Xenopus tropicalis: one gene and its partner. The protein of the gene in region 2 interacts with the protein of the main gene of each other region in a biochemical or structural test. Links are inferred from orthologs where the notes say so. Each region holds a gene or a part of one and is shown on either strand. Other genes may lie near its edges. The genes, in order: shh and ptch1.

What was found.
Region 1: the proteins of ptch1 (region 2) and shh are reported together in a solved structure, tested with the Homo sapiens proteins (5 studies listed by BioGRID and IntAct, with this or other methods). The link is inferred for Xenopus tropicalis from reciprocal best matches to the Homo sapiens genes PTCH1 and SHH.

What each region holds. Positions count from the first base shown.
Region 1 is NC_030682.2:17,020,240-17,024,527, forward strand, and holds the start of shh (sonic hedgehog protein), read right to left. Parts: upstream 3,071-4,288; 5' UTR 2,793-3,070; coding exon 2,493-2,792; intron 1-2,492.
Region 2 is NC_030677.2:135,818,399-135,822,232, forward strand, and holds part of ptch1 (protein patched homolog 1), read right to left. Parts: intron 1,412-3,834; exon of another isoform or gene 1,404-1,411; intron 1,226-1,403; coding exon 1,126-1,225; intron 885-1,125; coding exon 633-884; intron 1-632.

The DNA of each region.
Region 1 (4,288 bases), on a different chromosome or scaffold from region 2:
GAGGTCCATTTCTCCTGTCATATTCTCGTTTTATCTATACTCTATCTGTCTATTATCTATCTATCTATCTATCTATCTATCAATCAATTTATCTACCTATTTATTTATCATCTATCTATGTATCTATCTATCTATCTATCTATCATCTATCTATCTACTATCGTTCTAGCTATCCATCTATCTATCATCTATCTATCTCTAACTGTATGTCCGTCTATCATCTATGTAGATTAACTGTCTGGCAGTTTAATTACCTATACATGCATCATATTGTCAATCATGAATCAATCTCCAGTCTCTACAAACTATCAGTCAGTTATCTTTCTCTCTCTCTAATAAATGTCTTTCTTATTCATCATTTGTAGGTAATCTGTGTATCATTAATGTATTCCCATCACTCACTCTTTATCATCTATCTATATCTATCTATCTATCTATCTATCTATCTATCTATCATCTCCCATCCATGCCCTTTTTGTATGTTGTTCAGTTGTACTTCTATGATTTCTCTGTTTTTCTTATCTAGATATCCCCATAATGACCTCTCCCCCAGTTAGTAGATGTTTCTATAGTTCTGTACATAGCGCTACTCTATGGCTTGCAGGAACAGATCAATAGCCCAGCAGTAGCAGCAGGTGTAGGTAGTGGCCCATAGCCCACAGGTGGCAGAAGCCTTGGCGAGTGGCTAATCACAGAGGCTAAGCTTTCTCATACACGGAGCTGCATTGGCCATTAGCGCGGCTCAGGGGGCTACAGGCTGAAAGCCCAACCGGCCCGATCGATAGAAGCAAAGTGAGAGGCTGATGGGTCCGGGCAGATAAGGGATGAGCCTGAGTGGGACGGGAGGGAGCTGTACCCTGGGCTCATCGCCTCTCTCCGGGGCTCCCGGCTGCCCTCCGGTTGTACAGATATGTGTATATCGGTATGTAACTGCCTGACAGCTTTATACTGTATATACTGTATACCCTCATGTGTCTGTATCTGTATAGATCCGTGTGTACTACTGCCTGTATCTGCCATACACATCAGCCCAGCATGTATCGGTATATATATATATATATATATATATATATATATATATATATATATATGTGTATATTAGCGCATTTACTATTCTCAATATATGTATCCATCTCAGTCTCTTTATCGCTAGATCTATCATCTATCTATCTATCTATCTATCTATAATCTATCTATCTATCTATCTATCTATCTATCTATCATCTATCTATCATTTATCTATCTATCTATCATCTATCTATCTATCTATCTATCTATCTATCATCTATCTATCTATCTATCTATCTATCTATCTATCATCTATCTATCTATCTATCTATCTATCTATCTATCTATCTATATCTATCATCATCATCACCTATCTATCATATATCTTCTAGCTTTCTCTGTCTATCATGTAACTACAGCTAGTGCCTATATATCAGTAATGTTACATATGGCTGATAGTAAATACCAGGGTACATTTATTTCACTGTATCTATACCTAAGGAACACACTAACCCAAGGCTATAGACATCTGAGCTGATAGCCTTTCCATTCCTCCCAGGCATGGGTGTGTGGCCAGGACAAGGGTGAGGGGTTGTGCCAACAGAGCCCCTGGCAGGATTCAGGTGCCCCCTTAAGGGGTAACAGTCTCCCGGCAGTATAGAGCCAGGGGTATATCCAGATAGATCCTGTGCTAGAGGTTTCACGCCTGGCTGCCATACTGTATCTCCACACATCTGGGACATTGCAAGTGCAGGGAATCAGCCTGACCTATATATGTGCCCCCTCCCTCCCTGTCACTCAGCCGCACTCAGTCGCACAAACTCTGCAACTCTATCCAGCAGCTCCTGCTTCCAACCAACAGATCTCTCTCTATCAGCTGGAGATCCCATTTAATCAGCAATGATGTAATGTGCAGCAGCCCTTCCAGACAAAGGTACCGGTGGGCACCCATACATACCCTCACCCATTGCCCATTCTACTCACACCTTGCTGGAGATCAGTGTGGGTGCCACAAGGGGGATTTACACAAGGGACAGGGTGCAGGGGGGTCGATTGAGATTTAGCTGGTCATTTGTATGGGCTAAAGGCTGGGGACTGGCTAAACCAGGGGACCAAGGGACGTGTAAGCAAATGAATGAATGAAATATTTAGTGTGTGTATATATATATATATTTTCTTCTCTCGTTCTCTTTCTATATATATATAGCTTAGTCCTGATTCATGGGTCCTAATGTATTTTAAAGCCAATGGGGGCAGAAGAAATGGATCTGAGTTGAAACAGGTTGAATGAGGTGTAAGAATGGCAACTACAGTCATCAATATATGGTAACCACCTGAGAAGTAACTAGTGTATCTGCCATCCCCCGAATGTAAGAATGACAGTTACAGAGAAACCCATCATCAATGTATCTTTACCACCTGAGAGGTGTAGCCACCCCCCCCCCCATAGGTTTCCTACACGACCCCCCCACGTATGGCCGTACCTGAGTCATGAGTCGGTCTGCTCCGGTGTTCTCCTCGTCTTTAAAAATAATATCAGGGTTATAATTGGGGGTTAACTCTTTAAATCGATCCGAGTTCCTTGTAATCTTTCCTTCGTATCGACCACTGGCCCCCAGGGTCTTCTCAGCCACGTTGGGGATGAACTGCTTGTAGGCTAAAGGGGTGAGTTTTTTAGGGTGCCTCCTTTTGCCAATGCCTCTGCCAGGTCCACATGCCAGCCCAGGGGGGGCCACCAGAGTACAGATGAAGCCCAGCAGCAGAATTCGAGTCACAACCAGCATCTCGTCCGAGCGAAGCCAATTACATCAAAGGCTCGGAGGATGTGGAGCTGCAGCCTCCCTACTGGCTGGAGCACTGGGGTGTCCTTGTACCTCCCGGCTGGCCCCACTAGCCACCGATCCCTAGCAAGGCAGGTGTAGAAAGCCCAGTGTGCAGGTCCCCGCTAGCAGAACACATCGGGGTTTAGAGGCGACACAGCAATTAAAGCGCAAATGAGAAGCTGCGATTGCAATAAGCGCAAGCAGGGCTGCAGCCGCCTGTGAGAGGAGCCTCTGCCTTTAGAGCTATATTATAGCGAGCCCAGCCCGCCTCTGATTGGCTGGGGCCAGACAAGAGCTGTCTGGATTAACCCTTGAAAAGCTCATCAAGTGGCAAGGTTGGATTGTCTCATGGGTGAGGGCTGGGAGGGGGGGGGAGGCGTTACAGACTGAAACTTTTTTTTTTTTTTGGCAAAATGACAGAGTTGTCAGCAGCAGGGATAATAAAGGCTTCCACAGTGTCACTTACAGAATTATCTGTTTGCAGATCTATATCTCCTATGGAACCCCATGTATCCTACTGACAACTCTGTCTCTCTATCTCTGTGTATCTGTCTCTTTGCTCTTTCTTTCTCTTTGTTTCTACACACCTCTGCCACTGTTTTTGTACATACAAACACACAGACACACACACAGGCATATATACATATATACATGCACACACAGAATACCCCCTGAGCATATTCTACTAGACCTTGAATGCATGTACATAGACAAATACGTGTATAGAGAGAATAACTCAAATGGGTATTTCCTTAGATGTATCTACAGGTATATAAGTGCCTGATGGTGTATACTATATATACATATAGATATATGTAACATTACCAATATCTATCTATCATCTATCTATCTATCTATCTATCTATCTATCTATCTATCTATCTATCATCTATCTATCTATCTATCTATCAATCATCTATCTATCTATCATCTATCTATATATGATCTATCTATATCTATATATCCATCTGTCTATCTATCTATCTATCTATCTATCATCTATCATCTATCTATCTCTCTCTCTCTACATGATAGGATCGATGATGGATAGATAGATAATGGATAGATGGACAGACAGATAGATAGATGATAGATAGATAGATAGATAGATGATAGATAGATAGATAGATAGATAGATTGATGATAGATAGATAGATAGATAGATAGATAGATAGATAGATAGATGATAGACAGATAGATAGATTATAGATAGATGGTGGATAGATAGATAAATAGATAGACAGATAGATAGATAACAGAGTGATAAAGGACACAAAGTATATAATTTGCACATAGAACCACCGATAGGACATATATAGACACCCAAAAAGATAACACATAGAGATACAGAGATAGAAACAGAGAGATAACCAGAACTTCAGCTATTATGCAAACAGATGATAGAGAAACATCGAAGGATATAGGATTTTGCCAGATGATAGAAAGATAGATAGTTT
Region 2 (3,834 bases):
AACAGGGTGGGTACATTATTTATTATAAAACACAAGTTTAAGTGAGTCTGTGATGGGAATTACTAAGCACTGATCATAACAGATGATATCACTAAGCACCATTTATAAGGATAAAAATTACAAGATATTCATGGCTCTTGTGTATTATAATAAAAAAAATATATATTTTACAATACAAATGAATGAAGCCAATGGAAACTCTACTAAAAAATATTTTTTTGCATAATGCGAGACTTGTAAGCAACTTTTCAAAATACATTGGGGCTCATTTATCAACAATGGGCAAATTTGCCCATGGGCAGTAACTCATAGCAACCAATCAGTGATTAGCTTTTTTCAGCCAGCTGCAGGTAGAACAATGAATGCAACAATTTGATTGGTTGCCATAGGTTACTGCCCATGGGCAAATTTGTCCAGTGTTGATAAATTGATAAATGACCCCCATTGATTACAAATAATTTATAGTTTTCAGATTTTTAGTATACGTTTAAATTCTCTAACTACTACACAATGTAGCAGCAGTCAGCTATATATATATATATATATATATATATATATATATATATATATATATAGCTGACTGCTATTATACACACACACAAAGAGTGAGTAATACAGTTGGAGGCACATACAGTGGACCGTGGAAAGGCTGGATTTCTTCTGGCTTCCAGGAAGACTTGATTTGTTGATGCTCTGGAACACTGCTGGGAATCATACTGATGAAGCTCCTCACTGATTCCTGATACAGTTGTCTGAGAACTATATTCTGAATCTGAGGAATCAGACCCATTCTGCGTCGGTCTAGGATGCACAGGGAATCTTACAATATTTGGTGGTGGCTCTTGAGGAAACTCAAGTCTATCTCTGCCATTAGTTGGAGAGACCTACAAAAAAGTGTTACACATTTTATTTCAGCAGGACATATTTTACATTAATATCTATATAATATGCAAACTAAATTATGTTATATATTGGTTGTATGTGATGTCACCAAAGGTGCAAAGTGATGTCAACTGTGTCACATGGCTCATTTAAACTTTTGTATTATAAGAAATAACACAAGCTCATCTTAACCTGGACAACATTAAACTTGTACAATTATGGCATTATAGAGCTGTTACAAACCTCAGGATAAGGCCCAAAATAAGACAGAAGTACAGGAAGTAGCACCAAGCCGTTTAATACACCCAAAAGAGTTAAAATTGCCAGGACAGCAAAAAAGTACCTAGGAGAAAAAAAAATGTTGGTAAGTATCTTAGCTCAAACAGTTTCAGATATTAGATGAGATTGGTAGTGTGTAATACAAACAACTAAATTGACTTATAAAACATGCAAGAAAAAAAATACACAAAAATCACACATTAGCACAAAAGAACATATTTATAGAAACTTTTTATTTTTACCTTGAATGCTACTTTCCCAAATTCAAAGAGTAGTTAAAAAGAAAAGAAAAGGGTTATATTGTTAAACAATAAGAAAGTTTCAATAAATTGCAGCTATTCATTGAGGTGCAACACAAAGCAGAAAAAAAAAATATGGAATCTGAAGTGAATACGGGCAAAAGAATGAGAGCACAAATACAATACCAGCCCCTCCTCCACTCTCCCCATTAGTGAGAGCCCAGAAGATGGAAACAAATGAAGGAAAGGAGTAGAATTTAAACTATTTAGTCTACAAGGGGAAAAGGCCACTTCTCCAAGTGGTTAATCCACTGTGAAATGCTCATAAGACCTACTGCACAATTTCTAATTAAATCTCTTTTTTTTTTATCATTTTTATCATTATTAAATTCTGTTTCAGTCAAGCTCCTTATGCAATCAGTGTATTACACATTTACTATATTATTATACAGTTGTTTTTTTCAAGAAAGGAAATCAGGTTTTTGTGAAAGAAAAATGCTTTACATTCTGTGGTATGCCCCAGCGCGGTTCAGAGCAAAAGGTTCCACAATGGCTGAGCTGCATTGCAGGCTAATCTTTTGTTGATCAATTTAGCATCTCTGAATACTCTTGTTTTGAGTCAGCCAATTCAAACATAAAGACTGCAGTAATGGGTGGGGGGGATGCATAAATGGATGTGGTTTCCCACCACTAAGACTTACAGTCAAGGATTACTTAATAATACCAAAAAAGTCTCTTAACCAGCTTTAGTCCTTTACTCCTGCGCCTTCCAGCTGTTGCAAAGTACAAATGCCAGAATCCTGGATGGCTAAAAGTTACAACAGTTAGAGGGCCACAGATAGCTGCTTTACTCTACAGCAGTGTCCTACCACTGTTTCTAAGTAATTAAGCAATTATCCAGTATAGCACACATTTCTCAACTGGTTTATTTAAAAAAAAAAAAAAAGTTCTATATATATATATATATATCTATAGATCTCATTTGGGCAGTCTGGGGGCCATAAATATCCTTGGTTCACAGCAATGAACCCAAAGCCACCAGTTGGGCAGCCCTGCTCCAAAGGAGAGCTTTTACATTTTGTAGGTTTGCCATCAAATTTTAGGTAATGACACTGAGAACCAGCTTTTAGTCGCTAATAGATTTATAACAATGCATACTGTAAATCTCAAATTAAGTTTTTTTTTGTTTGTACAAATCCAGAACAGGGGTTAACGGGACCTTGGTACTAGTCAAAGTCTTGTTTTCCAATGTGTTTTTTTAAACATCACAACATACAAATATCCCTGGTTCTGTAAACATCTGAGAAAACTCCATTAGTACTATCAACAACCCAATGTCTTCCTTAAATCTAAACAAAGCAGAACTTGAGACTGAGATTTGTATCAACAACAGGCCTCAGAAACATTTGCATGTCATCCATCTTACACTTGAATAAACAATATGATTATATTGCTGTCTACTTTGCATATACAATGCCTCTTAATTTACTCTGTTCTTAGTGGAGTTGATTGCTGAGCTAATCTTTCTAAATGTCCAAAAGCTCTGGAACACTGGTAATCCCCTGGAACAAGGGAACAACTTTTCATCAATCTACATCCACCCTGGAAAAAACAAAGACGAAGGAGGCCAGATTTGACATCAGTTCTAAAAAATAAATGATCCACCTACATTTGTTAAAGGAAAACTATACTGCTGAACAATGTAGGTCTCTATAAAAATATATTGCATAAAACATCTCATATATTAAACCCTGCTTCATCTAAATAACCCATTTAATAAAAATGTGCTTTTTTTAATGTTAAGTATGTTCTATTGGGTACTCCTTACATTTTAAGTACTTAGGGCCACCCCCTGGGCTCATACGATTCACGGTGTGCACCAACAAACCAAGAGCACACATACATGTTACATGGACAACGTTTTTTACTATAACACTTCTACCTGTTATAGTTAAAGCAGCATTATTTCCTGTCAGGTAGATGAAAATGGTGGCTCAAGGTAAAAGATGTAAAAGGGCAATATTTACAGATTAAATTATACAAGAATAACCGTTACAAATGAAATATTTACAATACTATTTTTCCATGTGAGAAATGTTTTAAAACAAATTTGTTATATTTAGTAAACTATTTATTTTGAAACTGAATTTATACATACACACTATACAGTAGGAATAGCAAAGATTCCGAAGATAGTGTTTTCTCCAAGCACTTCTGAAACTTTACTATGTCCAACAACACTAGATAATTAAGGTTCAAGTGTAGCTTGAAACAAAAACTTGTTCTCTGTATATCCATGTGGCTAGACCAATGTAAAACCATTACTTTTTAAACTCTGCCTAGCGTGACAGATAGCCAGATCCTCCAATCTACTATGCTCAATATTTCTCTTATTTTTATACACTGTTATTGTTACCCTTCCTCCACCAACCTT